2 linked regions of the Stegostoma tigrinum genome follow. The protein of the gene in region 2 purifies or fractionates together with the protein of the main gene of each other region. This does not show direct contact. Links are inferred from orthologs where the notes say so. Each region holds a gene or a part of one and is shown on either strand. Other genes may lie near its edges. The genes, in order: pax9 and lysine-specific demethylase 5B-like.

Region 1 (16,682 bases), on a different chromosome or scaffold from region 2:
GTCCTGCAGAAGACTGGGTTCCAGTGATAAAATGAGAGAGATCGAGCTAGTATTTCATGGAGATTCAAAGTGATCTGAATTAAAAAAAGTCAAAGTTTTTGAATTTCCATAAAATGTGCATCTCACCCTGCCTGGATCAAAGTACTTTCTTTAATGCTATGTTGGCATTAAACTGCTTTGTATTGTAATTAACTACTACAATGCGGAGGCTATAATGGAATGGCTACCTTCTCTGGTTGCTTGAATACTTTTGAATGGCAGTGGTGTGGGAAGGTCACAACTATGAGTTGGTAGTGTGCTGCCACCTGAATGTTGCCAGCCGTGGGTTGCCATGTAACTGGAGGCAGCTGCACTGTATGTCATATAGGGAGATACTTGTGCAGGTGGAGGATAAGGAGCCATACTTGGAACAGAGACAAAGCTGCTAACTGTAGGCAGACCATTAGGACCCTGGAAGATTAAAAAAAAAGTTAAATTATCTTAATAAAGAGAAAATAAGCCAACTATAATTACTTTGTATTATGTTATTGATGTTAGCAGAATGTACCACAGAATGCACAACAAGACTATGTCATGAAAAATTACATGAAGTATGTTTATAACTTAAGCCACGTTGATGTAAAATTTTGCATGAATGACAAATCTGAACCAACAGTGCCAATTTATTTTATGTATTACTGTATTCCTTAACAGTATAGAAGTATCCACTTCATAGTTATCTGGAAGTATTAGATAATACTACCAATACGAAAACGGATGTACTATTTTAAGTGAAACCAATGCACAATGTCGATTGATTTATAAAGAGTGACATTTTAAAATGTTAAATATATGTGAATATTCGAAGATTAAGTGACTGATAAAATGTGGGAAATAATAATCTAACTACAATAGGAAATAGATTAAATTGTGTTGGTATTTAAAATATTCATCACAAGATCCCCAAATTAAAAGTCATGAATGTGTTGGATTCTGTTTTGAAGTGAAATTAATGTTTGAGGTTTTTGGTGAATCATAACAATTGACACATATTATTGTATCAATGAAAATAATGGCCAAGTGCAGGTCAGCTTAAGACCAGGCGCAGATCACACTGATGACTGTTCTCACAATGTTTCCTCATGCAGTGTCCTTGAACAAAAATGCGGGGCCAAACAGAGTTTTGCCGCCCGTTGTATATGCTGTTGCATAAATACAATTGACACCAATATTATACAACGACAGAATAATACAAACCGCGTGGATAGCCAAAGAGAGTATGATGTTTACTTTTCATAACCTGCCATATCGCATCGATTTGAAATATAGGTTTTCACCCCGGCACATATTTGAAATAAGTCATAAGAGATAGTAGGAACTGCAGATGCTGGAGAATCTTAGGTAACAAGGTGTAGAGCTGGATGAACACATCAGGCCAAGCAGCATCAGAGGAGCAGGAAAGCTGACGTTTCGGGCCTAGACCCTTCTTCAGAAAAAAATGATTTTCTGAAGAAGGGTCTAGGCCCGAAACGTCAGCCTTCCTGCTCCTCTGATGGTGCTTGGCCTGATGTGTTCATCCAGCTCTACACCTTGTTATCTTTGAAATACGTCATGATCACTTTCGTTTTAATATCAGATACGTCCAATGTGATCAGTTTCAATGTATAAATATCAATGATCTTGCCTATCATTAGACACTACTAAACTTGCTGGACACGATCAGACGAGCTGGTAAAAGGAGCGGGCCGAGCTTTCTGCTCTTTCAATTTTAATTTTTAATGAAAATATTGGGACGGAACACCGTTTCAATAGTTCTTTCCTCCACCATAAAATACATTCTGTTGTTGCTCAGTTGTGCCAGTGTCTTTGTTTGATTCTGTTCTGCCTTTTTTTTAATTGTCGGTATTTCTTGGGGACGGGATGGGATCAATTGGACAATGACGTTGATAGATTATTTAGATTATTTCAGTGGAGCAAAAGAAATGCACTGAACAATCAGGATGTGGGCTAGAATCATTTCTAGTCGTAAAGGAGCTTACGCCAAATTTCTTGCGAATACTTGTAACATAAAGCTAATAGTCATGAATATACCTGCATGTCTGAGCAGTTAATCCTTCTTTGACATTTCACCACGTTTCTCCACCCCTTCTCGCCTACCCAAACTTTTTAAACAGCTGTGTATAAATCTGTACTTTATCAGTCGATCTTCATTCTGTATTGGACGATTAAGTTCATCAAATGGCAGACTTTCTAATATTTTAAGAAAAAGTAGTAATATTACGAGGAAACCAAATTGTGCTTGTGATTGAATCTGGTATAAATCCACTTCTGCGTTCCCAGGCCTAGTTCTTGTTTTACACCAATTACACCGGACTACATATTCATTGTAAATTTGTGTAAATGATAAATTCAGTTTTCCCATATTTAAAGAGTTTATTGCTGATTTACTTTGTTACAGCGGCTACTTAATTTCTTCAGCATCGTGAAAATGTCCTATGATCCTACAATTAGCAATAAAATTATTGATTATATACAGAAATGGTTCGGATCCCCCCCCCCCCTCTTCGCCCGCCCCTTCAAGATGTTTATTATATGTTTTTGTTCTCGTTCTGCGATTTGGCACATCCATCTGTGCCAGGCTTAGTTACTATTTCGATTTATCAGCGACGTATCTAATGCCATGTAAAACGCCAACTAAATGTCGTCCTTATATTCCCCCTTAATTCCTTCTGATTAAAAAATGTTTACTACACATTACATAACGTTACAAACTAATTAGAAGTTCCCACTGTGTACAAGTCACTGGAATTTAAAGCACTAATTACACCTAGGTTATAATTGTTCAAACGTATTTATTTTTGTAGTTCTGAGTTCTGGAAACGCTGTAATCTGTCCAGTCGAGAGGAAAGGCACACTACAATTACCTGAGTATATTTGACTTCCTGCTCCAGTGGGGACTTGTCCAGTCCATTCACTGCAGCCTGGTTTGAGGACTGGAAGTGGCTCCTGTTTATACTGTTCCATTCCTCCACTTTAGTTGGATAGGAAGAGCTGTCACTAATGGGAATAGCACCTAACAATAAAAATATTTATATCACATAACTTGAATCAGAATCCTTGCAGCAGTCATCATATTCGCATCGTTTTTCATCCCTTTATCATTCCGGCATTTTGTTTTAATTTGGTGCAGACGGCCAGATGAAGTTTACTGGAATACCATTCCGCTTATTTGTACTGCTTAAACTTATCGGATTTAGTCGAGTTCAGTGTGCATTTCTCAGCAGTCTGGATCATATCCAATATGGCACAAATTAATAAATCAGAGAGGCAACAGTTGTATATCATGTATTTCCACAAATTGTTTCGCGATTAGTGTTTGAATATTATTTCTGATATGCGTTACTTCCCCAACAGTGCATTTCGAAACATTATTTTTGAAATATACTCAATCTACGTCCTTGGAAATTATGTTGTAAAAATTTTCACATACTTTATTTGATTGTGAATTTCTGTAAACACTGTTTTCAAATCTATGTCTCTACGAGCTTTCACTATTTCTACAGATATTTAGGGTTACTGATATCGTTTTAAGTAGGTCTTGTATCAGGTCTCTCTTCATGGTTCTCTGCCGTGAAAGTAAGCCATTAAATTATTTTACCAAAATTTCCCCAAAATCATAAGTACAGGATTCATTTTAAATGCACTTTATGTTCATGTATTTAGTTGTAGCCTGAAGCGATACATTATGTAGGAAATGCAATTGGAGCTTTAATTATATATTTCCTCTTAGTCCAGAACAAGATGTGTTATTGTGATGGTTTCAAAAAGGAAAACTGATGTTGGTGGTTAAAGCCGATAATAATTTTCCAGGTAGCACTATCGTAAATGTAAGCAGTTGTCATCTCTTTACATCGTAGGGTTAAAACGACACAACTACTAAATCTGTTTTAAATAAACCCCTGGGCGATTCCCGGATACCCATGTCATTGTTTGATGCAACTTTCCAACAAGTGATTTGTTACATGTTTCGTGGAAATGTGGAAATGATATTGTGATTTAGGAGGTGCAACAGAGAGGGGACTCCAACGAACTGATCCGAAAAATACTTGCGTGTATCACAGAAACAGCAAAATAATCTAAAATAGTATTTTACTAATGACTTATTAGCTGCGCAATCTATCTCTGAACAGTGGCCTGAAGGAATGCTACTGCACAAACCTTCGCGAAAACGTCAACAAAATCGGTGACCAACTACTATAAACGCAAGGTATAACTAGGAGACCATTATAATCAGCCGATGCTGAGAGAGGAAATAATTATGTCGTTTGACAACTGGAGTGGACATTTCCTAGTGGGAAGCGGCCTGGCTTTGCTTTGTTAACTAGATTGCGAAAACTGAATGCGTTAGAAATTAACATGTATTGAAGCACTGTAAATGGGTAGAATGGAGTTCACAGATCTTCGTCTCCTCATACGAAAGCGTTTAAATACATGTCGATAAAAAGCGTACATCTGAAACTACTGAATTGAAATTAAATGTGAAGTCTTGGTTTTGATGGCTGTCACTGTAACAGCTACTGAAATGAAATTAATAAACTGTTACAGGGTGACTTGAAATTTACAAATTTGTGCTTAGGTTCTAATTACATGGAAGGAAAAGGTGGGTTAGTGGGTTTAAGGCAGAAAACGTACGGGTAAGTCTAAAATATGAAACAGTAAAAGCTGAATTTTCACTAAACAGAGGGTTTTTTTCTGTATTATCCATGGGGCCAACTAAATTTAACGGTAAAGTACAAACAACATATTTAATGCTGTAATTCTTTTAGCTGGGCCTTTGGCACTGGACGACTGATAGCTGGATTGCTGCCGCTTACCTTGCTGCTCGATGATTGCTCTAATCCCCAGGATGTCAGAGACAGAATGTGATGAAGGCCAGGTCCTGTGAATTCCCACGTGTCCTGGGATTGCGGGTACACCGGGCGACGCTGGCATTTTACCTCCGGCCGTTGTTATGGGACTCGAATAAGAATAAATCGCATTGTACTGGAGAGCCGATTGCGGAGACGGGTGCGCTGGAGTTTTACTCGATTCGTAATTGCTCTGCTGCGACAAGTTTCCGATCTTGTTGCGTAGGATTCTGCTGATGGAGCTCACTGAAGGGACGTTGTATTTATCGCAGACTCCATCAGCCAAGAGTCTGTCTCGGATCTCCCACGCAAAAATCCCTGGATCCCTCTGCTTGTAAGCTCGAATGTGTTTGACCACTGTGGGGGTCGTCACCCTGGGTTTGCTGCCTCCGATCGCACCGGGCAATATGGAACCGGTCTCGTTGTACCGAGCCAGAATTTTACTGACACAACCGTGTGAAACTCTGAGCTGTCTACTGATATCGCAGGGTCGAATCCCCAGTTGAGCCAGTTCGACTATCCGCAGTCTAATGGCATTTGGCAGTGGTCTGCCATTGACAAATACACCTCCTAACTGGTTTACTTCTCCAAACGCTGGTTCTGGTATGGAATAGAACAAAAAGGCGCATTCAAACAAAAAGTTAACTGCAGAAACACGTTAACCCGACAGCGGATCTATTTTTGTTCTGTTAACCAACTTTTGACAAGCTCTACTTCTTTACGTTTATGGACCGTATCGGTGGGGTAGGCCTGCACTGTGTAAAGTTTGCATTCGACTCAAAATCGTACATTCGGTACTAACGTAGTTCCTGACATTTCCGAGTGGAAGTCAACCACTAATAGGCACAACAGTTGAAATTGAGATCGCCATCTGCACTCGATAGCTTTTGCATGAGCGTTGCGGGAATTTTTTTTTCAATCGCTCGGAGCTTTTATTCGAAAGAGCTCTTAAATGGCAAAAGGTTTGTCTCTGAATTGATTTTGTGGACGTTTGTTTGATAAATCTTCATTTTCTGTCGTTTCTTTACAAAGAAATATTTACACGACCATGAGATTGTTTTTCGAAATGTCATTCTATTTTCATATCCCTAGACTTGAGTTTTCATTTCTCCAATGTTTAGATGTAAATAAAACAAAAACCGTAGCGTGGATTCAAAACCTGGATGTAATTGAATTACGAGCTTTCATTTCTGCTCAGAATGTATTTTTCTGTCATATTGAGAGGAGGAATGGTAACTCCCCGGGAATATTTAACGACTATGTTTGAAAGTTACCCTCCGCTCTCCTTTCAGTTTGCAGTGTTTGCTAATTGGCTCGTTTGGCTATTATTGTACCTTGTTTTCCAGAGGACAAAACACATCTGAATAATTCCATCAAACTCATCGACTCTCCAATAGTTGGCCATGAAATGTAAATTGTCCAAAAATAACATTTCCGCAAAACTCGGTCTAACTTCCCTAAATACAAGATAAACATCCCAACACGTAGTCATCTAACTAGGCGTGACTAGCTCGATCTTAAAGCGTACTTTTTCAATTAATATGAATGGTGGAAACATAAGTTAGTGCTTGCTAATGCTAGCTTTATTGATCGACTGTGCATCTGTTGACAGCAATGTAAAATATAGAGACTACTTACCCATGATAGTTATTACTCAAGTGATCCTCAAAGCTTCCTGCTGAATATGTCAGCGTTTCAAATAGAATTCAAATCCCCTGAAGTACAGATTGCTTTGGAATCCGCTTATAAGTGCTGCTTAATAACTGATCTCACCTTCGGAGTTATAGAAGAGCATGTATAGAGTAAAAATGCTTCCCTTTTCCTCGGGAGAGGTGGCTCGGTTCTGCATTTCAAAGCACAGCATGGGAAATGGATTTTACACACTCTGTCTGTCAATCACCATGGACACACCTTCGGCAATGACGGAAGAGGCGGGAGGATAAAAATCCCATTGACTCATTGGTGGATGGACGTGACCTGGCAATACTACCTGGAAGTTGCTCATACGAATTATTCTCGGGCTGACCACCGTCTTGAAGCTTTTGGTAGACTGTTAATGTGAAGGAGATATTACTTAAATATTTCAATAAATTGCAAATTGTACTAAACTAATATTGTTATTTTAAATGGAATTGTTCATTCAACCGGTAAGTTCCCATTGTAAGTTCTGTTTCCCTCGCAGAGCAACATTATAAGTGTATAGATTATTTATTTTAAAAATGCATCTTAAAATCAATGATCATGTAAGTTCGTGTTATTCCAAAGTAAGTTTCAGCCCACATTTTATTTTAGTTACTGGTGAATGCCATGTCTCATAAAAAAGTCGACCAACATTTTTCACGGCAAATTAATAATTAAAATGGTTGTTCTTTATTTTTTTTCACTGTAACAAGAGTACTAAATATTTGTTAGAGTAAATAATTACATGTAGCTTCCCATTTTAATTTGCTGTTAGCCGCTGGAAGCTTATTTAACGATGTTTGTAAAAATAAGATAAATTCATAATTCATTATTGATTGCATAGTGAAAATATTCTTGCATTAGTTGATTAGTTATTAGAATGTATTGTATCATGCTACGGTTTGAATCAAAATATGACGTAATATAGAGCTGATAAATGACTTAACACCAAGCAGTCTTTGCAAACGAAATGTCCATCATTTCAATTTCAGCGCAAGATTTGCTTATGTAGTCCACCTTTGCGCGATACTGACTAGCGAGAATCACTTCCTTTCATGAAAATACTAATCTTTACCTTTGTTTAATTGCCAAGTGGAACGTCAATCCCGAATTTATGCTGTTTTATTACTGCGACCTATATTTTTTTAAAAGAAAGAAATTCATGACTAATTTTCTGGGGGTATCTATTTATCTTTGTCGTAATAGTTTACCCCACCGTTTATATTTTGCGGTATGTTCCAAACCCGGCAGAAAATCAGGTTTGAAATGGATTCTGTGTTATTGAAGGTGAAGCATACCTACAAAGTTCTTAATGTTTATTTGCAAGTAACAGTCAAATACGTCATTTTAATTATGCACAAGTATTTTTGTTAGATTAGTTCATTTGATAATGTTATGTTGAAGATGCCAGGTAGGTTCTGGTGTCAATAAAATTCTATTACTTAAACATAACTCATTTAATGATCTTTAAGGATAGCGTTGAACTATTTAATGGCTTTGAGGTGAAGGCGTTTTAAACTTTTCTAAAATTATAGCCTGTACGAAAAAAAATTTAAGAATTTTCTTATAGTGATTGACAGTTCAACCGAGTAAACTCTGCTGATAAAAGCAGCAATGTTGGCAATATTCAATAAAACCGGCAGCGCACGAAGAAAGTAAAGATGTAGAAGGAAGGTTTCAAGAAAATGATCTTTTGTCAGACCTGTTGACTTCAGACTTCCAGTTTCCCTTGTATTTTGCTTTTGTATTCTTTGCAAAGTCTCCCAGTTTAAGTTCTCAGGTGACAATTCTTTCCTCTTATTTGTTTTTGATGGGTGTTGGGCATGTTGTAATTCGATAAGACGGCCGATCTTCGCTTCTTTCTATCGGTTTACGTTTCTTTTCTCAATTTGCTGATTTTCTGTAATTGTTTTTGAACATGTTCCTGTCTTTGCCCCGTTGTCTTTCTGAGTCTGTATCCTGTTTTCCTTCGGAACTAACTGTGGGACCTCTGTTCTCCTCTCCTTCTATCTGTGGGCCGCGTGTGAGGCTGGAACTTCGGACAGAAGGAAGAATCCTTGTCGACAAGGCTGCTCTCTAGTGAGAAAGCATAAATGTTTACCCGGGTTGAACGTGCTTAACTTGTTTCCATAGAGGTGCTGAGTGTGGTCTTAAATGACAAAGGTCAGATGCACACTGGCCCGTTAAAGGGCAAAGGAACACAAACGGGATGAATCCTCAATTGTTTCTGCAAGCAAGCATTAAATCATTTTGAATTTGGCTGCTTCATTTCGGAACAGTACGTTTTGAAGGCCAGAATGGTTTTTCAATACATTTAGAAATACGCTGCTGATTTCCAAATGTGAAAATTGTATTTGAATGTCCAAGCATGCACGTTGCTGGACTAAATACCGCAGAGTGCATTCATTATAACTTTAAAACAATTTTCTCCATTATTTAATGGTAACAGTTCGCACCAGGTTTCTTCTTTTTTTTAAATGTAGCTTTGGGAGAATATCTGGTGTTTCCACTCTTTAATTTACGCTTTATGTTAACTTTAAATTTCCCTTTACAATGCGGCATTCAAACTTTCCAGATTCTTTCGGGATAAAAACATGTCCTTCATCCACAATCCAATAGGTAAGCCAATAAAATACTTATTGAACTTCAAACACCTATTTGAAATAATTGGAAATAATAGGAATAAATATTTACAGCAAATTTCATTGAAGCGCAGTGTCTCAGACAATGTCTCCCTTGAAGTTTTTTTGAGTATTTTCTCAAAAGAATTGAAAAGATGACTATAAAAAGGACGGGGGTTTTCGAATAGGCAACTTGACATTTAAACTGGATGTAAAGTGAAACGAACTACCACGGTTTACAAAATCGTGTTAAGAAACAAAACTGTCGCAGCCAGATTAGTGAACGCATCACTGGGCCGCAAACAAAACAAAATCTGAAATCGTTTTTGGATGACGAATTTCAAAAGATAATTGATATTAATAAATCCGAAAAATGTTTGCAAGTTGTCATTGACCGTGGAGATCTTTACACAACACGCTAGCGTTCAAGAAATAGGTGTGAAGATTGATAAAACGAAGCTAAATATGATTTCTCGCTGTCTCCCTCTGGTGAAATCTACTGTATCTGCTTTTCACGTACAACAGGGTGTCGCTAGATTTCTAAAATAGACTATTCAACAAGTGTAAAGTGAATTAATCAAGGATTAACTATTATTCAAGTCACCGTTTAACATAAAGCTCAAATCTTATTTCTAAAGCAACCAACTATGACACTCGAGTTATACAAAATTTAATTGATCCAAATATGTGGTGCTTCCTAAAAGTAAATTAAGTTTTGTCTGAATAATATGTTATCACCGTTATCTAAGCTTGCAGTTGCGTCAAAGGTTAATTCTATTTAGAATGCGTCATAGTATATTTGGACATATGAACAAACCGCGTTACAATGCAACAAACGGGGGAACGTGGGTTTAAAACATCGATGGACAACGCAGTCTCTTGCGCCTTTTCCAGTACTTAAATGGATCGTGGCTCATTTGTATTTCAACTTGATTTATCGGCTTTTGCTCGATAGCCCTTGAAACCATTACCAATAAAAATCTTTCTCTCTCAGTATTGAAACTAACATTTCGGGGAGTGAATTCCACACTGCCCCTCATGTGTGAATAAATGTTTCCTGGTCTCATGCCAGAAAGGCCCAGCTCTTTGTTTTTTATTTAAATCACCTCTATGGGCTTTCCTTATCATTTGAACACTTCGACTGGATTGCCCCTTTATGGCCTAAAATGAAGGAAAGATATTTTATAGAGCCCGTTTTCATAATATGGTTCTCCTAGTCTTGGTATGCTTCTCGTGGACATGCACTTTGCTCTTCCCGTAATTAATATATATATATTTACTGAGGTTAATTGCCCAAAACTGAATGCAATGTTCGAGATAGGCTCGGATCCATTAGATATAGTTTACGGTCTGACCTATCAGGTAACACTCAATTTAAAAACATTACACCGCCCACGTAGCTTCAACGGGAAGTTGATCCTATCGGATAAAAATTATCACAGCCGTGCTTTCAGTCTAATGGATTTCGTTACTAATGCGACAAATGTTATTTCAGAACATATGCATGATATTTTTTTTCAAATTCGAGTTTTAAAAATCTCAACTTTAATTAGGTCCTACAAATTCTATATCACCTCAAAACTAGCTGTAGTTCCATTGAAACTTACGAGTTCGCAAGTCATGTTAAATAATGCTACTGTAATCGGTAAGCAAAATGTTATGATGCACGAAACTAAGAAGACGCCGGACATAGTGCTCCAAATTGTCTGTTTAGTTATAAACTAAAGAATCATGCTGCAAAACGTAATGCTTCTTCATGTGATCTGGATGGATATTTAAACAATCAAAGGAGGTATTAGAACTAGTATTAGAGACGGTTATGAATTAAACATGCACAATATTTTCTCTACTCTCCCTCCTTTGATCGTTCGCGGTAACAAAACCATTTTCAGCTTTATAGTCGGCATTGAAATTATGAGAAGAACAACTGAAATCACTTTCCTGCTGGACACCTTTCTAAAACCATGCTGCAGAACCTATGCCTGTCTCGTAAAGTAATAACCTTAGAAGTGAAGCATCAGGATGTTGCTCGAATTACAAATTCAAAAAAAATTGTTTCGAGCATGCTGTATTCTGAATATCATTATTATTTCAGAAAGTCTGTTCCCAGCTGATGGGTGAAACAGCACGTCCAAAAGGATTTGACCAATTGAATAATCGATGCCTGTGGTGTAAATTCCAAAGAATATACACAATTTGTTTCGTATCCAAAACAACAGTGTAGGTGTTACAAACATTCTACTGATAAATTAATAAAGCATATATCAATAAACATTAGATTTTCTAAATTATATTCTTGGTTACCTGATCAAGTGTATCCTAGGACGTTGTGGGAATTTAAAGACGAAATTGCAGGGCTTTGTATCATCTATCAACATAGGTGTAGTACCAGAGGACTGGAGGGTGGTTAATGTTATGCCATTGTTTAAGGAAGGCAATAAGGAGAAGCCTGAAAACTGTAGATCTGTGAGTCTGGCATTAGTGGTGGGTAAGTTTTTGGAGGTGACTCTGAAAGATAAGATTTACATGCATGTGCAGAGGCAACGATTATTTAGGGATAGTTAACACAAATTTGTTCAAGGAATGTTGTGTCCCAAAAACTTGAGTTTTTTTAAGAAAAATAACAAAGATTGATGGGGCAGAGCAGTAGACATTGTTTAGTTGGACTTCTGTTAAGCAGTTGACAAGGGTCTGCGTGGTAGACTAATTAATAAACCTAGATCACTTGGGATTCAGGGTGAGCTTGCAAATTAGATACACAGAGGATAGTGATGGAGGATTATTTTTGGACTGGAGGCCTGTGACCAGTAGTGTTCACAAGGATTATTATTGTGTCCACTTTTGTTTGCTATTTATATAAATGATTTGGATGAGAATATAGTAGGCAGTGCTAGTTAGTTTGCAAATGATACCAAAGGAAACCGTGATCAATTGAGTCAATGGGTTGAAGAGTGGCAGACAGGGTTTAATTTGGATAAATGTGAGGTATTGCATTTTGGTAACACAAACAAGGTCAGGACTTAAACAGGTAGTGTTGTAGAACAGAGAGACCTAAGGGTTCAAGTATAAAATTCTTTGAAATTTGCTTTATGGTTAGAAAGGGTGTTTAAGATGGCATTTAGCATGCTTGCTTTCATTGCTCATTCCTTTGAGTGAAGGAGTTGGGACTGTTGGTCAGGCCTCTTCTGGAGAACTGTGTGCAGTTCTGGTCACACTGTTGTAGGAAGGATGTCTTTAAACTGGAAAGAGTTCAGAAAATATTTACCAAGATGTTGCCAGACATGGAAGGTTTGCTTATGAAAATAGGCTGGATAGGCTGACACTTCTTTCACTGGAGCTTAGGAGGATGAAGAGAGACTGTATAAGGTTTACAGAATCACGGATGTAGATAAGGCAAATGACGGGGTTTTTTTCCCTAGGATGGGTGAATTCAAAACTAGGGGACATATTTTAGGATGAAAAGAGAAAGATTTGAAAAGGATAAGAGAGGCAACATTTTTACACAGCATGTGTGGAAATGAACTGTGAAGGTAAGTGGTGGATTCAGGTACAGCTACAATGTTTAAAAGACATTTGGATAAGTTCATGAATTGGAAAGGGTTGAACAGATATGGGCTAAACGCAGGTAGGTAGACTAGTTTAGTTTTGGATCATGGTAGGAGTGGACTGGGTGGAGTGAAGGTCTGTTTCCACGCTTAATGACTCTGTGACTCTATAAAATTAGTGTTCTAAATATACGAACTGTGCGATGAAATATGAATAGGATTCGAACGTACTCCTATTTCTGCTGCACAAACCGCTGTGTCGGTGCTTATAAGGTGTAATGGCTAGCGTGGTATCTGGTTGGTCATAAGTGGGTGGAAAATGTCCTCAGAGTCCATTTCGCTAGTTTCAAATTTAACGTCACTGCCATGAGTAGGCCAGGAGTCCTATCTGACAACACTTTCTGAAGCAAACCATTTCGTGTCATGCTGATGAGCGCTGGGAAAATTTTATGAAACCTGTCCGAAATCATCCCGTATTACAGACAATGACAAAAAAAAGCATGCTTGCCAAGTAAAGCAGCTATGGTCACCGCTATTTTAAATCGGGCGAAAGAGCAAGGTACCTAGATGTAATATTTGTATTCAGTCATGTGTATGTTGTATGTTTGTCATTCCGTTTTTCACAGGTAAATTACTGACCAACGGCAAAAGTTTAGAATCTCAAATGCCTCCCATTAAAGTGTAACTCATGGAATAGTAAATAAAAATGTCACGCAAATTTAACACTTCAGTTCTCATTATGTTTAGTCATTGGAAGGGTGTAAAAAGCATCAACGGTCAAAAACTAGTCTTATTTTGATTTTGGAAGCATGTGCAATTTCATGCGCAATAGATCACACTGAACTCATTAGTTTGATTTGTATCTTTCAGTATTGGCATCTTGGATGTTCTATCTCTTTCCTTCTAGCTAATGAATATTAATTTTTAGCAAATGCCTTCCTGCAGTTTTCTGAAATTTTCAAACCTTTTCTAAAAAAAAGGCAGTTCTTTTTTTACAACGACAGGAAATAAATGACTGAAACAAGTTCCGTGAAATTTGTGAATAAGATCGTTGTTCCATATATTTTGCATTTAGCTTTACATAGGTAAAACCGAATTTCCCCGGGGCTCCTTCCAAAAATAACAACTGTATTTACAATATTGAAAACAGTTTCATACTAGGAAAGAAAAAAATGTGCGTAAAACGAATATATTTAGAATGTTTAACATATGTGCATAATTTTTGTTGAATATTAGCGATATAAAACAATGTAAGCGGGAATAATATAAATACACATGGACATTATATTCTAGAGAAAGAATTCATGAAGATATAAAACAAGAACAAAAACATATTAATTCCAATGCTGTATATAAATATCGGAATGTTTATGCAGCTGAAAGTTTGCGGAATAGTAGTTCATAAGGAGTAAATTAAGTTTCGTGATAGTGAAATGAAAGACAACTTGTAATTTAGAACAAATGCATTTTTTGTTATATTCTTTTAAAGGCAACCAAAACGGAAAAATGTTCTGCGAAGGGTACGAGATAGCTGTCATCCACTTGTATAATTTGGACGTTTAAATTTATATATGAACAAGTTCGTGCTGTGAATTAATGGAATTACAAAGTTAGGATAAGCAAGATAAAGCAACTTGTCATTCTAAGCAATCACGCAATTACTGTCCTTACTAATAGGGAACTCAGAGCCTACTTCGTTATCAGCACACATTCAATTGTGCAGATAATACTTGCGAGCTGCTGAATTAAGTTAAATTGATATTGTACAACATGGATTCGGGTCACCACTCAACACCCAAACCGTTTTATTCAAAATTATCCTTATATTACATAACAGTTTGTTTCTGGAATGCTCAATGGAGATTATTCTGCGTCATTTAAGTGCCGCAACGAAGAATTTCCTGAATAAATTGCAATTCCGCAAAATATTCACAGGCCAGAATTTGCTGAATGATGCTCCGATGCTAAAGGACTACCTTTAATACGCCTCCTTAAATATTTGCATTACTATTTTTTTCTAGTCTGATTATTCATTTCTTTAGTCGGATGCATGACACTAACTATAAGGTAAATTGCAGGAGTGACGGACTTGGTAAGAATTAATTTCCAGCAGCGTTTTCAGAATATGCCAGCATTCTGCTGCACAGCAAGCCAAGCACCACACCTGCTATTACACCGCAATATGTGGTCTTGAAATTACATTGTATAAACATTTTACCTTTTATAAAACTTGCGAATATGACCTGTATTTAAATCATTTCAAAATTAACATAACGTTGCAATTATTTTCCTAATTGCGACTAAAACACAATTTTGGCAAACTGCTGCTATCATTAATGCTTGTCTTTTCGGGTTTTTTTTTTTGCTGTATCTGCACTGAACATGCGATTTTTGAATATAAACTGTGCCATTCTTTCATTGAAAATCGTCTCTACCGTCAATTTTCTTCCAAAACCGCAGAGTTGGCTTGTTTCCAACCCGGCGTTTCAGTTGAAAGAAACCCTGTTGGGATCTGGCGCCACCTCCTGATTACAGCTGGCAGGTAGGCGTTAACAAACAACGATTTCAGATTATCAGCATACATCGTAATAATTTTTGACGTCCTCTGACTAAAATGATCCGGCAGTCTAATCAATGATGTACAACATTCAGCATAGTACCTTGCAAATTATAACATCACAGTATGATAACAGTCTTGCTAATAGTTACAAGGATAGGAATTGTATGAATACTGCTTGAGTACAAGGCAATAAGTGGCATCCATGATTGGAACTCACTCTTGAAAGTATACATTGTTGAATTAAAGAATGAAGAAGAATAAAGATAACGTAAAGCGGTAAATTTCACTCTGAGGAAAATTGTGACAACTGTCCATCACATAAGCAGCTGTCATTGATAATTATTCTTTGTGTGAAAGTTCAACTCATTTATTGACCGCGGATAAATTTGTTCAAATATTCTCTTCGATAATAATAATGAAAACGATGAAGTTAAAGTTAGTAAGAGCCATCAACTGGCATGTTCTGCAAAAAGGATTATGTGAATTAAAATATAGATACCACGTGATGAGACTGCGGTTCTATTTTGAAGCCCCTAGAAATCCATTGCATTCATTCCAGCCTAGTAAAGCAAAGTTTTTCCAGATCCAATTGTATATGATGTTGCTCAATAGTTTTTTTTTCTTAAAGTAAAATCAGATTAACAACATTTAAAATAATTGAGCAAACTCTTTCGATTTACCTGTTACAAATTAACATGATTAACTGAAAATGAGAAACAAGCCTGAAACAAGCAGTTGTCGAATATTCGTTCGAAATATATCAGGCTAAACATGATGACGATGGTTACTTTGTCGCGCTTGGTCGCAGCATTTTCTTATTGCAGTATAAATACGGATCTGAATGGAATCCGAGTTGCTAACCGTATTGACACTATCTTTGAATTTATTCAGAACGTAACAAATGCGAACAAATTATTGGAAGATGACAATACAATTTTCTGAAAGATGTATTTGAAGTTCATGCAAAGATGAATTTGATCTTGATTTTTGAATTAAAGATATTGATTTTTGAAGAAGTTCGAACTAAGACCCGTGTTTATGTGTAGAGTTTCTCGGTGACTAACTCTCACGTAGATGCGGTGCAGCATCGATGCAACTTTCTGCTTACAAAATACATAACATGATACACGCCTATTTAAACGTTCAAACTTGACATTTGAAAATAAAAGGTAATACTAATAAACATATGCAAGGAGTTCTGCCCTCATTCTACTTATTTTAGAAAGCCACATATTGATAAAATATGAAAAATATTTTTGAAAGCTGATGAATTCGCCATGTTTTGCCTGGTGTTTTTGATTTGAAATCGGCGGTAAAACCAACGTAGACATTTATCGCCCACTGCAAAGCATTTCAAACACATTTTAAGTCCTTCCATATGTTCGTTTCG
Region 2 (16,584 bases):
CACAGAAATGAGACTGAAGATCTGAAATAGAAACAGAAATTGCTAGAAAACAAAAATTCAGCAAGTCTGACAACATCTGTGGGGAGAAAGCAGCATTAACTTTGAATCCAGTAACTCTTCATCAGAACTATTGACCAGTGTGATGTCTGACACTTACCAGAAGACTGGCTCCAGACTGAAAGAGATTATATGGATACAGAATACGCTCATAGTGAGATCGAAGAAGTGAGCCCAATGCTTTTCCAGGTGGATATGCCATTTTGTGCGCAATCTTAGACCATCGCCGTTCTTTACAAACTATTTCAAAGCCACCTTCTTCTGCAACAAGCTGTTTAACAAAAAAGCATTAAGTGGTATACAGTCCATGCAGCATGAATAGCCAAAAAAAATCACTGGTCATTATAAACATATTCATTGGCACAAAGTATCCTGGAATTTGAAAGCTATAATATTTCAACTAGGTTAATCAAAACTTGGAACTCTTCCTCCCATCTTTCAGAAATGAAGAAGAGCAGAAAGATGCCATTCAGGACTTTGAGCCTGTTCTGTTATTCATCATGATCATGGCTGATTGCCCAACTCAATAGCCTAATCCTGCTTTCTCCAATAACTTTTGAACACATTTGCCCCAAGTGCTATATCTAGCCGCCTCTTGAATAGATTCAATGTTTTGCCATCAACCACTGCCTGCTGTAATGAATTTCACAGGCTCACCACTGAGTGAAGACATGTCTCCTCACCTCCATCCTAAAAGGTTTAGGCCAAATTCTCAGGCTGTGACACCTGGTCCTGGGCATGCACACACTATCAGAAACATCCTCCCTGCATCTACTCTATATAGTCCTGTGAAAATTTCAAGTCTGAGAGATGTCCCCCCCCATTCATCTGAACTCCAGCAAAATCAATCCTCACCAAGTCAAATCTCTCCTCATACGTCAGTTGCACCATCCCCGGAATCAGCTTGGGAGTCCATGAAAGTTTCCCTCGAAAGCAAGAGCATCCTTCCTCAGAAATGGATACCAAAATTGCACACAATATTCCAGATGTGGTTTTACCAAGGCCCTGTACAACTGCAACACATCCCTGCTACAGTACTCAACCTCTGAAGGCCAACATACCATTTGCCTTCTTTGCCTGCTGCACCTGTACACTTGCCTTCGGAGACTGGTGCACAAGGACATCCAGGTTCGACCATACACACCCCTTTCCAAATTTAAAGCCAGATAGTACTCAGCTTCCTTGTTTTTGCTTCCAAAGCAGATAACCTTACATTTATCCAAATTATACTGCATCTGCCATTGATTTGCCCACTCGCCCAACCTGTCCAGATCATGCTTACGGATCTCTGCATCCTTGTCACAGTTCACACTTCCATCCAACTTGGTATCTCATGCAAACATGGAGAGATTACACTTTATTCACTCATCCAAATCACTAATATATATTGCAAACAGCTGGGACCCCAGCACCTGTGACATCCCACTAGTTAATGTCTGCCAATTTCAAAAGGACCCATTAATTCAGAGTGTTTCCTCTCTGCCAACCTAGTTTCCTATTTATCTCAATACACATCCCCTAATCCCATACGCTTTAATTATGCACATTAATCTCTTATGCAGGACTTTATCAAACACCTTCTGAAAGTCCAAATATACATTGACTGGCTTCCCCTCATCAACTCTACCAGTTACATGTTCATTGAACTCCAGCAGATTTGTCAAGCATGATTTCCCTTCATAAATCCATGCTGACTGTCTGATCCTGCCACTGCTTTCTAAATGCTCTGCTATAAAATCTTCGATAATGAATTTGAGAGTTTTCCCTACTACCAATACTAGGCTCACTGGTCTATAATTCCCTGTTTTCCCTCTACCTCCCTTTTTGAATATTGGAGTGACAGCAGCCACTCTAATCTGCAAGGACTGTTTCAGTCTACAGGGTCCTGGAGGATGACCAGAATTGCATCCACTATTTCTACAGCCACTTCCTTAATCTACATCCCAGAGTAGTTATCAGGCCCCAGGGATTTATTGGCCTTCAATCCCAACAGTTTTCCCAGCACCGTTTCTCTACTACTGATCTCCCTCAGTTCTTCCCTCTCACGAAATCCTGCATCCTCCAATAATTCAGCTATCTGATTTGTGCCCTCTTTACAAAAAGGCAGGACCAAAGCAGGAATTCAGTTCCTCAACCATTTCTTTGTCCCCTATTATGCATTCCCCCTGTTTGTCTGTAGGGGAATGACAGTAATCTGGGATGTAGATTATTAGGCCCGGAGGATTTATCTGCCTTCAAACCCATCAACTTTCACAGCACCATTTCTCTACTAATATTGAACTCCTTCAATTATTCCTTCTCACTAAACACTTCATTCTCCAAAGCATGAATTCAGTTGCTCAGCTATTTCTTTGTCACTCATTACACATTCTCCACTGTTTCTGTCTGTAGGGGAACTACATTTGTCTTTACCAATCTCTTGCTCTTCACGTATCTACAGAAGCTCTTAGCACCAATCTTCATTTTCCCTTCAAGCTTACTTTCAGTCTTATTTTCCCCTTCTTAAATCAATTCCTTCAACCCTCTTTGCTGAATTCTGAACTGCTCCCAATCTTTAGATTTATTACTTTCTTTGCTAATCCGTATGCTTCTTCCTTGGATCGGATACCCTTTTATTTCCTTTATAAGCTGCAGATTGGCCCTCTTACCCATTTTGTTTTTGCAACAGACTGGAATAAAAAGTTGTGGTTCCCCCATGTATTCCTCGAATGTTTGCCGTTGCCTATCCACTATCATCCCTTTAAGTAACTCTCCCCAATCTAGCAAGGCCAACTCCACCAACTCACACAGTCATAGCTTCATTTATTAAGATTCAGCACCCTAGTCTCCAAATTAACAACTCACTCTCTACCTTGACAGAATTTCATCATGTTATGGTCGCTCATCCCCAAAAGGATCTCACAACTAGAGCGACAGTGATTCCCTCTCATTCTCTAGTTGGTTCCTCCACATGTTGGTCAAGAAAACCACCCCATATTCAGTCCAGCAATTCCTTCTCTACAGCATTGTTGCTAATTTGATTTGCCCAATCTATGGGCAGATTAAAGTCATCCATGAACGCCAATATTCCCTTATCACATGCATCTCTAATTTCCTGTTTTATGCCATTCTCAACATCCAAACTGCAGTTTGGGTGTCTAGACATGACACCCACTCATGTTTTTGTCGCTTTGGTATTTCTCAACTCTATCCATACAGACTCCACATTGTCAGAGCTAGTTTCCTTTCTCACTACTGCGTTAATTTGCTCTTTAACCAGCAATGTTGCTCCACCACCTTTTCCTTTTTGCCTACCCTTCCTAAATACGGAATACCCTGAAGCATTCAGTTCCCAGGCCTGGTCACCCTGCAGCCATGTCTTTGTAATCCCAATTATATCATATCCATTTACATCTATCTGCACAATTAGCTCATCCACTTTATTGCAGATGCTCCATACATTAAGGCAGAAACCCTTCAAGCCTGCCTTTTTAAATGCTGTTTGTTGAGCTCTTTTCTCAAGAAATCCATTTGGATTTTGTCTTTGGTTTTTCTGCCTATCACTTTGCAACCTTTTATTTCATTCCTTGCTGCCTTCCTGTGACTCCTTATATGGGATCCCATCCCCTTAGTATATTAGTTTAAACCCTCCCCAACCGCTCTAGCGAACACTATCCTAGGAGTCCTGGTTGGCACCCAGGTGTAACCCATTCAATTTGTACAGGTCACACCTCCCCCAGAACTGGTCCTACCTTCCCAGGAATCCAAACCCCCCCACCCCCCTCAAGACCATCTGTTCAGCCACGTGTTTGTCCAACATATATTCTGTTGTTTCTACTGACTATCACAAGGCACAGGTAGTATTCCTGAGATTACCAGATTTCTTAAATTTTCTTCCAAGCTCCCTGCATTCTGCTTTTAGGACTTTTTTTTAAAAACAGCCTGTCATTTGTACTGATGTGTACCACAACCACTGTCTATTCACCCTTCCCCTCCAGAAGGTTCTGTGCCTGCTTGGAAACATCCTTGGCCCTAGCACCAGGGAGGCAACGTACCAGCCTGGAGTCTCATTTGCCACCACAGAAATGCCTATTTATTCCCCTTACAATTGAGTCCCCTATGACTATTGACTTGTTAACCCCTCCCCTCTGCAGCAGAACAAGAGTGGGCCAACAAGTTTGGCTGCCAATGCTGGAGAGGTCATTCCCTTCAGCAGTATCCAAAACAGTATACCCGTTTTGCAGGGGAATGGTCACAGGAGATTCCTGCACTACCTGCCCATCTGGCTGGTAGTCACCAGTTTCCTTCCGGCCTGCAAAATCTGAGCCAGTGGCATGGTCATCTCTCTACACATACTATCTGTGATACTCTGCCTCACAAATGCTCCACACTGTCCCCTCCTCCAGCTCTGAAACTCAAGCTTCCAGGAGCTGAAGGCAGAGACACCTTACCTACTCACCAATCACGTACCTCCCTTGTAGTCACCTGCTGCAGAACAAGGTCACTCATTTTCCCTTGCTTGTGATCCTCTGACTTTTCTTTTGGTTATAGGAGGGGGCAACCACTAACACTAGCCTGTTCCCTGGCCAACATCTGACTCAGGTTTGCTGGAGCACTGCAGCAAACCTCAGTGCAAACTGGACAAACATCTCATTTTCCACTGGGGGGAGCCTGCAACCTTTTGGATTCAATATCAAGTTCAAAAATTTTAGGACCTCAAATCTCCCTGGTCCTAACCCCCGAGCCTACACACAAGGCCTTTTTGATCAGTGTGTAATGGCAGGTTACCTATTGCTAGTCACTAACCATCCCCATGAGTAGCCATTCACCCTCCTAGCCAGATCTTTATCAACTACCTTGTCTATCAACTGCTCTTCTCTCTCCCTTCACTCCAGTCTTTATCCTATCGTTTACTCCCTAACCCACCACCCCCCACCCAATCTTCTGTATACAAATAGACAGGTCCCTAGCTACCATCAGTACTGAGGAAGGGTCACCAGACCCAAAATGTTCACTGATTTTCTCTCTTCACAGATGCTGTCGGGCTTTTTGCTGAGCTTTTCCACTAATTTCTGCTTTTGTTCCTGAAAAGAGGGTGTCTTCCCGTGGTACTCCTTCTGGTAGTGGAGATTGCAGCAATTCAAATCTTTACCCTGACCATCAATGTCATCACAGCCTTCTCACTACAGATCTGCATCACTTACTTTTCTATTCACTACAGTCAAGTTGTATTGCTATGTATAGAACTTTCAAATTCCTCTTGACGTATTAATCAATCGACAAAGTAAGATTTTACAGCCATGGGCTGAAAGAAAAGCCAGAAACAAACACTGAAAATGGTAAAAATAGTCATTAGATTAATGCCAATTGGGGTGAGGGGAGAAAAGTTAATGTCTTTGCAGAACAAATTCCTTGAATGTGCAGGAGATGGTTTTCCAAGAGCAGCATGTTGAGGAACCAAAGAAACCAACTGTTTTATAATTAGTATTGTGCAATAAACAAGGACAAGACCACGATAATAATCTTAATGTGAAAGAACCTTTAGAGAGAACAGTAACCATAATATTCTACTTTAGCAGCAGCATTTGTATACAGCTGTTTAGAACCTACAATGAGTTGAATGAGGATCATGTTATATTGCCCAGTTTGCGGATGACAATGTTAATTGCAAAAAAAGTGTTGCAAGTATGATTGATGCTATGATGCAAAAAAAAAATTTAGATAGGCTGAATAGGCAAGAACATGACGGATAGCATACAAGTGGACAAATAAGACACAGATCTAATGGAGTTTGCTGGGCAGAGTGAAGACATGATGTCAGAGATAGAGGCAGGTGTACATTCTTGAGACATGTACTTCAACTCAATGCCAGAGACATAATATAAATCTTACCTTGTTGAGTAAAAACAAATCCAAGATCTTCCTTTCCACATGTGGAATTTTTAATGTTGAGCCCTGTAGCTCCCAGAATTTTGCTATCTGGTCAAGAAAATTGAGTTTTACTCTGGTCTGAGCCTGTGAACAGATCAGAAAGTAATTCTTTTGCTATACAGATTGCACATTGTTTTTAAAATTCCTATTGGGCAATGCATAGACTTCCAATCATACAACACAATATATACACTTTGTTACATTTGTAACAAAGATGTATACCATTTGTATACAAGGTATATAAGGCAAAGAGAATATGCATACACAAAAGTGAAGATTTATACAGCACCCATTTTTTTTTTAAGGATGGCATAAAATGCTTCAAAGCCTTGTGAACAACTGCCTTACATTGTAGAACAGACAACTTGCATACAGCACAATCCAAATTACTGCAAGAGTATATGTGACTAGGAAACTTGCACGTTTACAGAAATATTGGGCTGGGGCCAGAATTCAGGTACAGGAGTAGGGATCAGGGAACAATTTGAAAAATGATATACAAAAATCTCAATGCAGAACAAATTTTGCAGAAAAACCTGTCACACAATGCAATCAGTGCAAATAGGTATAATACCCTAATTCACAGACTAAAATGACAACATACCTCAAGTTCATTCAGTCTCTGAATTCGTGGAGTGAAGTGCAGTTTATCAACATCACAAGCGAAGGGCGGCTGCCAGTTCTGCAACAAAAGAGGAGGCTCTGATCTTCGACCTCAATTTTACCTTCTGCCTACCTACCTTTTCCCCACCCTTTCACCCATACCATGTCCTGCCTGCTCCTCTGCCCCCACCCCACTTCAACTAACCTACCCCCAGCCTCTTCAAATCCCACCTCTCCCTTCAAAGCTCCCACCTTTCAATCCCCTCTGCCAGCAACCTCATCCTCCAAACCTCTCCCTCCTCCCAGCTACCATTCTGCTGCTCTCCCACCGCTCCTTCCCCACCCCCGTTGTTATCCCACCTCTCCCCTTTCCTTCCTATCCCTCTTTCTCTTCCCCCCCCCTTCTGCTGCTATTCCACCCCTCTTTACTTCCCACCCCCCCATCCCTCTTTCTCTCCCCCACCGTACTGTCCCACCTCTCCCCTTCCCTCCCAACCCCCCTCCTACCTACCTCGCCGCCTACCTACACCACCTCCACACCTTCCTTTTCCCCTCCCTCTTCGCACACAAAGGAAGTCCCTGCTGGATCCGCCATATTGAAAACTTTACTGCCACCTCGGAAGTTTGTACAGGTGCTGATGGCCGGGACTCCGCCAACTCCCTCCCTGCGTGCATCCCGGGGAGAGAGCCCGTCCTGCGAGAGGAGCCTCACCTGTGGCGGACGGACTTTGCAGATGCCAGTTTTCTCGGCGATGGGCCGGATCTTGCTGATGAAACTGAAGGGGTCGGCGAACTCCTCCGGAGTGGGTTCGAAGACCGGGCACTCGGGCGGGGGGATGAACTCCACCGCCGGGTTCATGGTGTTGCCTGCCGGGGAACTCAGTGCGATAGCGGCCCGGCCTCGGGCGACGGTTACTGGCGGTTCCGTGTCGCGGCGCCCCGGCCTCGCGCTGTACTCAGTGTCGCGGCGCCCCGGCCTCGCGCTGCACTCACCGTCGCGGCGCCTCGGCCCCGTACCGAGCTCGGTGTCGCGGCGCCCCGGCCCTCACGCGGTATTCGGTGTCGCGGCCCCCCCCCCCGCCAGGCCTCGAGCCGATCACCAGCCCTTTTTTTTCCGTTGCTCCGTCTCGCTCTGAAACGGCGCAACACCGCCTCACACTCGGCTAGCTCCTTCCGCGCAGCAACCAGTTCGCGCGAACACACCGCCGGTGCGCCCCAACGCACAGCGCACAACCGCTGCGAAACGAGCTCTGCCCGCCCAGCATCGACACCACAACACACTGAGGGTCTGAAATCGAACCGGAGCAACCCAGTGACCGTCTGTTTATATCGAGCGCATTGATACAACACCTCAATCGTGAGGCGACGGCTGATTCCGGCACTCTTTGTTTAAAAGCCATTCTCCTCGGCGGTGATTGGCTACTGACGACCAGGGGCCCTGGCTGGGCAGTAAAGGGAGGATACAAGCAGGGACCCAGCGAGGAGCGCGAGTGTCAGCAGCCTTGGCCCACCCCCACCCCTACAGCACCCCAGTCCTCCCATACCCCATGCCTCTCACATCCCACACCTCGTTTCCAACCCCCCCCTCCATCTCTGACTTCCCCAACACCACACCTCTCCCCATCATCTCCACCCTTGCAACTCTTCCCTCCCCCACACCTCTCAAGGAAGAGGAGATTCAAAGTGAACATAGAAGAACAAGGCTGGAGAAATCATGATGGGGAACCACATAATCACAGAGGAGTTAAATGAATGCTTTGCATAAGTCTTCAGCGTAGAAGACACTCTTAGAATTCTAAAGTTACTAAATATTCAGTGAGGAAAAAATGACTGGGAAAAAAAATGCAATAACACTAGAGGAAACTACTGGTAGGGAAACTAACGGGTCTTAAAAGCTGGTAGATCCCCTCTGAAGAAGGGTCGCTGGACCAGAGACCTTTTTTCTGCTTTCTCCAATTTTTGATTTCAGTGCCTTGGGCCTTATAGGATGTACCCTAGGGTACTAGAGGAAGGAGCAACAGAGATAGTGGATTAAGGGGTAGTAATCTTTCAGGAATCCTGAGATGGTTGCAAAGTCCAGAGGATGGAAAAATTGCCAGTTCTTTCAAAAAAGGGAAGAAAACAAAGATGGGTCTGTTGTTGGGTAAATATTACAGTATTATAAAGGGTGCATTTACAATGAGCATGCAGAGTCAGCATTGCTTAATGAAGGAGAAATCATGCCTGACAAATTTGCTAGAATTCTTTGAGGAGGTAACGAACAGGAAAGATAAAGGGGAAACAGCAGATGTGATTTATTAGGAACTTTTGAAGGTATTTGGTAAGATACCACACCTTAGGGTACTTAATAACATAAGATCTCTTGGTTTTGGAAGAAGTGTTTTGGCATTGATTGAGAGTAGGCTAACTAATCGATAACAAAGAGTCAGGATAAGGATGCATTTTCAGACCGGCAACTTGTACCTAGTGTTGTGTGACAGGGATCAATGTTAGATCCACAGTTATTTATAATATATGTTAAAGATTTAATTGAGGAAGGTGAATGTACTATCACCAGTTTTGCAGATGACACAAATAGGTGGTAAGGCAAGTTGTAAAGATGGCACAGTGAGTCTGTAGAAGAATATAGACAGCTTAAGTGAGTGGGTAAAAACTTAGTAAATAGAATATAATGTGGTGAAATGTCAGGTCATGCCCTTTTGCAGGAAGAGTAGAGGAGTGAATATTATTTAAATAAAGAAAGACCACAGAAAGCTAGCTTACTGGGTATGAAGTGATTTTCTTACAGGGTGATATTGAGCAGCTTGGGCCTGTACTCCAACATATAAAATTCTTAGGGAACTTGACCCGGTAGATATGGAAAAGTTCTTTCACCTTGGTGAAGGGTCTAGGACCACGGAGCATAATCTCAGAAAATGGGGTCTCACATTTGAGATAGAGATGAGAAGACATTTCTTGTCTTGGAGAGTAATGAATCTGTGGATTTTTTTTGCCACTGAGGGCTGTTGGGATTGGGTCATTAACAATATTCAAGGCTGAGATAAACAGATTTTTAATCAGTCCGACAATCAAGGGATATGGGGAAAGGCAGGAAAGTGGAGATGAGGGTTATCAGATCAACCATGATCTCATTGAATGGTGGAGCAGACTGAATAGAATGAATGGCCTACATCTGCTTGTACATATTTTGATCTTATTTTGCATTTAAACCAGCATTTCTGTCAATCATATCATAGCAATAAATTCTTCAAGGCCTATCATAGTGTTATGTTCCTATCTTTGATAATACTGGTCAAGTTAGATCCCAGTGTGATGCTTGATTGACTCTAAGTATAATTTTATAATTTGGTTACTGTGGGGCTAGGTCACCAAATGTATTCACGTGAGGCTATGAATATACTTTTGACAAAAGAACATAAATATTACACATAATGGCGGTAAGATTAACTTCCAGCAATTAATTTAGTATGTCCAGTCTTATTAAAATTAAATCATATTATTTTACTTTTATGCCTCTTGTGTTCACCTTTATTATTTTGGCATACTTCTGTTTGTTCCCTAAAACTGCTGTTTTTTTCATCCTCAGTTTTTCTATTTCTCCAATTTCTTTGTGGATCCCATGTGACTATTCCCCAATTTATAACTGAGAGATACTATTTTGGAATTCTTCTACAATCATACTTCCCTTCGCAGTTTTCAAAACTTTTCTCTAACTTCAGTGATCAAAACCATTGATTCCATGACATTGCATCTTACTTTACAAATTCTGTAAATATCTAATTGAGGAACATCAGGGAAATACAATGAATAATATTACTTTTTTAACCATTTCAGATGGTTATTCTGGCAAACCCATGTACACGCTTATAGCTGTCAGTAAAAATACACTATAAAGTTAAGGCCCAAACTGTTTTGCCTACTTCACCTTCATAGCCACCTTTTCAAATGAGATGAAACATCTTTCTTCTCCAACCTCTGTAAATTTAGGCACTAAATATGAATATTTAGTTAAATCAAGTAACCCTCATTTGAACCAGAAACATCCTTTAAGCTATTACCTCTTCTTACTTCCCTCATTCCTTTACAATATTTCTGTCTTCATATTGTCTGAATTCTCTCTCCTTTGAGCATTAGGCTTTTTAATTTATTTTCTCTTTCATTTTCTTTATCCTATCTTCCCAATCTTTCTTTGTTTTACTTTCTCCTCACTTTCCATTTCAAGATCTCTGATTTCCATTTTTCTTCTTTTCTGTTTCATTTAATTTGTTTGTCATTTCTAACTTAGTCTTAGCTAATTCTAAATGGTCGCTCTTCAATATAATGCTTTCCTCCTTTTCTTCTAAATGTTGAGTAATCATTTTAAGCACCAATCTTTACAAGATCCTGCTTTTATTTATACCTTCAACTTATCCACTGACTCTCTTAGTATAACTTTCATGAAAGTTGTCAAATAGCCTACTGTTATAATTTCCTCCCCCAGAAAAGTCTTGGAAATAGGCAATGTCACATTGAAAGTTCAACCTGTGTAATTACTTCACAACAACACTACTGGTTTTCTCGTCAGTACCTTCACATATGTCATGGCATAGACTAAGAAGTTTGTCAAAATAATAGGTGCAAAGCCCACATGATGCTTATTGTGTCAAAACTGAGGGTTAACATAAAATAGCATAATTAATAGTTAATTAAAATGTCCACTAGAGAAGACCATAACACCATACCAAACAATATCAGAAATGATCAAAGAATGCACAACAGTTTTAACAGAAATGAAGCAGGTTTGACACCAGTTTAAAGGTTTCAAAACAAAACATCTGATTTCCTGTACTAACAGAGACAAAAGATTGAAAGCTGTAATAGTTGTAGATGCATTCATGAATGCTGGCCAGGCCTTGTTAAACTGAAATGACAAAGTGACCTTATTGAAAAATATGACGACACAGTCAAAAGCAGCTACAAGAGGATGTCTAAAATAATTTACCTCTGAAGAGATTGAATTAATTCACAGGAAAAAAAAAGTGAGCGTTGCTTACAATGTAGTAATCAAGTAACAAAAACATTCAAAGTGATTAGAAGTGGAAAATCCTGTGAGCAACCTCTTTTATGTTTTGTGATGTTCCAGGCTCACTTCTGCTCCTATTACACCCAAACTCATAGAAGCCTACAACATTGACTGCGTGGATAGGTTATAAAATGATTTTAAAGTAAATTGGTAATAAATTGTCTCAAGTGAATGAAGCAAACAGTTAGTGAATTAGTTTTATATAGTGTATTTTCACCTCCTCAGGAAACCCCAATGTGTTTTGCAGCTAGTTGATAACTGTAGTCACTATTCTAATGCAAGCAACACAACATTAAATTACACCAAGCAAGCTCTCAGAAAGAATGCCAAGATGGACTAGTTATTTTTGTGCTGTTGGTTAGGAGAGGAGTATTAACTAGGACATCAGGAGAATTTGTTTTTCCAAATATTGCCTTAGGACATTTCACATCTTCAGAACATCCCCTCCCCCCACTGCATCCCAAAACCAGCCCAGTTCGTCCCCTCCTCCCACTGCATCACAAAACCAGCCCAGCTCGTCTCCTCCGCCTACTGCATCCCAAAACCAGCCCAGCCTGTCTCCACTTCCCTAACCTGCTCTTCCTCTCACCCATCCCTTCCTCCCACCTCAAGCCGCACTTCCATTTCCTACCTACTAACCTCATCCCGCCTCCTTGACCTGTCCGTCTTCCCTGGACTGACCTATCCCCTCCCTACCTCCCCACCTATACTCTCTTCTCCACCTATCTTCTTTTCTCTCCATCGTCGGTCCACCACCCCCTCTCTCCCTATTTATTCCAGAACCCTCTCCCCATCCCCCTCTCTGATGAAGGGTCTAGGCCCGAAACGTCAGCTTTTGTGCTCCTGAGATGCTGCTTGGCCTGCTGTGTTCATCCAGCTTCACACTTTGTTATCTTACCCTCGCTTATGGTCTTTTTTTGCATTCGGGACTTTTGACCATCACTGCCTAGACCAGAATTTATTACCAATTCTTAATTGCCCTGGTGTTAATGAACTGAAATTTTGAAGTGCTACACTCTGTGTTGTGTAGGTCCTCCCACGGTGCTTTGAGGAAGCTCCAGGATTTTGACCCTGTGACAGTGAAAGAATGGTGATATACTTCCAAGATAAGATGGTGTGTGGCTTGGAGACGAACTTGCAGGCGGTGGTGTTCCAATCATTTATCACCCCTTCTAGGTATTAGAGGTTGTGGGTTTGAAAGCTGATGGCAAAGGAGCTTGAGGAGTTGCTGCAGTGCATTTTGTTACTGTGCATTGAAGATGGACTTCCACATGGCTGGCCCATAGTTTCCTGTTTTCTGCCTCTGTCCCTTCTTGAATAGAAGAGTTTATGCAGCATCTCAAGATTTGTACTCAGTACTGATTGGCTTCAGAATTTATTTGCCACTATTGAAGGACCACGATCATCCTAAAAGATTTGCCTTGAGGTGCAGAGACAGAAAGCTCCTGCTCAGGTTAGTGCCTAGGAACACCAGTAATGGTAAGAGGTATTTGGGTATTTGGCATATGCACAAAGATCATGTAAATATTTAATTGCACCGAAATTGTGTTTGCTAAAGCTGTCTTGGCAAAGGTTGGACACTCAAATTTGAAAGCTAGTTCAAGTAATAGTGACCATAAACCTGGCATAAAATGTTTCAAAAATCCATCTGGTTCACTAATGAGATATCAAGGTGTAGAGCTGGATAAAAACAGCAGGCCAAGCAGCATCATAGGAGCAGGAAAGCTGACGTTTTGGGCCGAGACCCTTCTTCAGAAATTCTGAAGAAGGGTCTAGGCCCAAAACGTCAGCTTTCCTGCTCCTATGATGCTGCTTGGCCTATTGTGTTTATCCAGCTCTACACCTTGTTAGCTCAGATTCTCTAGCATCTGCAGTTCCTACTATGTCTGGTTCACTAATGCCCTTTAGGGGGGAAAAATCTGCTCTCCTTACCTCTTCTGGCAGACAAGCAACTCCAGAAACACAGAAATGTGATGACTAACTAGAAGGTCTCTCAGTTCAAAGGCATTCGGGAATGGGCAAAAATGCTGGCCTTGCCAGTGACACCCCATTCGACGAATACAGAAATTTTAAAACATTCTTATCAACATACTTGAGAACTTCTTCACTTTAACCCTAACCCTAACCCTATCGCAGACTATCCCAGCCTATAATAGGATAACTGAAGACTCCCATTATCAATACTCAGTCGTGTTTGCAGCTCTATTATCACCACAACATCATGTTCCCTAGTGGTTAGTTGCACCTGCACCTCATCAAATCTTATTTATCACACTTCATGCACTTACACATATGCATTGTAAACATACCTCAACCTATAATCTGAAAACATCAACTTTAATGCAGTGACAAACGCAAGTATAATGCAATTAAACAAAAATACCCTTACTCACTATAGAACTCTGGACTCTCAACCAGCTTGATAACCCATCATTATGTAGAGATCTTGTGATGCTTCATTCTGCTTGGATTTTGATGGCAGTAACATGTCAAAAGCTCTTCAGCTATGTCAGATAATTGCCTTGGCAAATGCACTATCTGCTCCCTCATCAGAATCATCACCTTTTCCTTTGTTCTGATTTGCAGAAACATCTGATCCATCCACCTCCTCTTCAAAAAATTCCTCTCCCAGTTCCCAAGCGGGATTGTACATGTTTGGCAAGAACTGAAACACCCTACCTGAGTGGCACAAACAGCAGAAATTCATATTTACCGAGACAAGTATCTGCTAATTCCTTGCTGTTTTTGAGTCTTGGCCAGTATTCACTGGATCAGAGAAGTGTTACGTTACAGAAGAAAACAGGTGGCACAGTGGCTTGGTGGTTAGGACTGCAGCCTCACAGCGCCAGGAACCTTGGTTTGATTCCACCCACAGGTGACTGTCTGTGTGGAGTTTGCACATTCTCCCCGTGCCTGCGTCGGACTGCTCCTAGTGCTCTGGTTTCCTCCCACAGTCACAAAGTTGTGCAGGCTAGGTGGTTTAGTGTTCAGTGATGTGTGGTGGGGTGGGTCAGGGTGGGATGCTGAGAGTCAGTGTGGACTTGTTGGGCTGAAGGATCTGTTTCTACACTGTAGGGCATCTGTGATCTGTGAAAAATTATTTATCCCAGCATTCCTGCACCAGCTGTCTGACTGAGGATTTTGAATTAATGCAATTTTCTTGCCTTTTTCCCATATCTGTACACATTATTTCTTTTAAAATAATCATCCAATGTCCTCTTGAATGCCTCAGTTGAACCTGCCTATACCATACTCCCATTCAGGTTCCAGACCTGAAACGCTCACGAGAAGGATTTTCTCACTTCACGTTTGCTTCCTTTGCAAATCACTTTAAATTTATACCTTGTCATACTTGACCCTTTTCCAAATGGGAACAGTTTCTCCCTATCTATCAAGCCACCTCAAGATTTTAAAATCTTTTACCAAATACCCTCTTATCCTTCTTTTTCCAAGATAAGCAATCCTAAGTTCTCCAAACTATCCTCATAATTTAAGTTTCTCAACCCTGGAATTTTTCTTGCAAATTGCTTCTAAGGTGCCTTCAATGCATTTCCATAATATAGCATCCAGAGCTGTACACAGTATTCCAGCTGAGGTCTAACAAATGGCATACAGTAACAAGTGTTTTGAACTAATACACTGGCACATTTGCACCAGTTTCATGAGTTGGGTCTTTTGTGGATATCCCCTGTAAAATAAGGATCAAATCCAACAATTATTGAAGGTCGCAAACTCCTGTGATACCTGCAGGTTAGTCAGGGTGTACAAATTGGGAGAGCTCTCTGGGTCATGTACACACACTTGAAGGATTTGTTTCTGGTGATCACAGCCCAGTTGTAGAGTTAGAGAGTAAAACCCCAATTTGAATATAAATGCTTTTTGCTAACCCTAGGGAGCTCTTAGCACCACATGTACAGTCAATTGCCCTTTGTACCTATGGAAGCCCTGAGATAGCAACAAATCCCACAGTTATGACTTCTGTGTGTGTGTTGTGAATCTAACAAGTTCAACCATCAAACTCACACCTTTCTAAATAGGGCATTTGGGACCTTCCTGATTGTGATTATCAGTCTGTGATATTCAAGACTTGTCACCTATGGATCCCTTGAAAGAAGTACTAGTGAAGCAGTTCAGTGTGATGGTGACTTTCTTATAGAATGATGTTTATGACACAGTAGGAGGCCATTCACACCATTGTAACTACACCAGTCAACAAAGATCTAACTATGTTAGTTAACTTTTTTTCTGATGAAGGGTCTAGGCCCAAAACGTCAGCTTTTGTGCTCCTAAGATGCTGCTTGGCCTGCTGTGTTCATCCAGCCCCACACTTTGTTATCTTGGATTCTCCAGCCTCTGCAGTTCCCATTATCTCTAACTATGTTAATCCTGTTTTCCAGCTTTTGACCCAGAGCCTTGAACGGAGTGGTAATGCAAGTGCATATCTAAATACTGATTAAGAGTTTCTGATCAACCAACTTTCAGGCAGTGAGTTCCAGGGTTAAAGCACATTCCAAGGGGAAATCATTGTCCTCAACCCTCTTCTTCGCCTTCTACCTCTTATCTTAACTCTATGTTCCCTGTTGTTCAACCATCTACTAATGGAAAAAGTACCTTCCTATCCACCCTATCCATTCTCCTCATAATCTTATCCACCTCTATCAGGTCCCTCTCAACCTTTGCTGCCCCAAGGAAAACAACCCTAGCCTATCCAATCCTTCTTCAGACCTCAGACTCTTCAGCCCAGGCAGCTGCCTGCTATATCTTCTCTGTACCATCTCTAGCGCAGTTACATCCTTCCTGTAGTGCAGTGGCCAGAACTGCACCTAGTACTACAATTGTGACCTAACTAGTGTTTTTTTCTATCCTAGCACAATCTCCTTGCTGTTGTATCCTATGCTGTGGCCCATAAAGGCAAGTATCCCATTTGTCTTCTTAACCCGCTTATCTACCTG

The links.
Region 1: the proteins of lysine-specific demethylase 5B-like (region 2) and pax9 purify together in Homo sapiens (affinity purification with western blotting, with the first as the bait; 3 studies listed by BioGRID). This does not show direct contact. The link is inferred for Stegostoma tigrinum from reciprocal best matches to the Homo sapiens genes KDM5B and PAX9.

What each region holds. Positions count from the first base shown.
Region 1 is NC_081363.1:57,049,119-57,065,800, reverse strand, and holds the start of pax9 (paired box protein Pax-9), read right to left. Parts: upstream 6,892-16,682; 5' UTR 6,751-6,891; coding exon 6,660-6,750; exon of another isoform or gene 6,529-6,659; coding exon of another isoform or gene 6,525-6,528; intron 5,487-6,524; coding exon 4,854-5,486; intron 3,053-4,853; coding exon 2,904-3,052; intron 876-2,903; exon of another isoform or gene 451-875; coding exon 228-450; coding exon of another isoform or gene 196-227; exon of another isoform or gene 1-195. UniProt on the Homo sapiens protein: Transcription factor required for normal development of thymus, parathyroid glands, ultimobranchial bodies, teeth, skeletal elements of skull and larynx as well as distal limbs.
Region 2 is NC_081374.1:48,015,821-48,032,404, reverse strand, and holds the start of lysine-specific demethylase 5B-like, read right to left. Parts: upstream 7,895-16,584; 5' UTR 7,430-7,894; coding exon 7,283-7,429; intron 6,650-7,282; coding exon 6,572-6,649; intron 6,052-6,571; coding exon 5,929-6,051; intron 329-5,928; coding exon 158-328; intron 1-157. UniProt on the Homo sapiens protein: Histone demethylase that demethylates 'Lys-4' of histone H3, thereby playing a central role in histone code. Does not demethylate histone H3 'Lys-9' or H3 'Lys-27'. Demethylates trimethylated, dimethylated and monomethylated H3 'Lys-4'.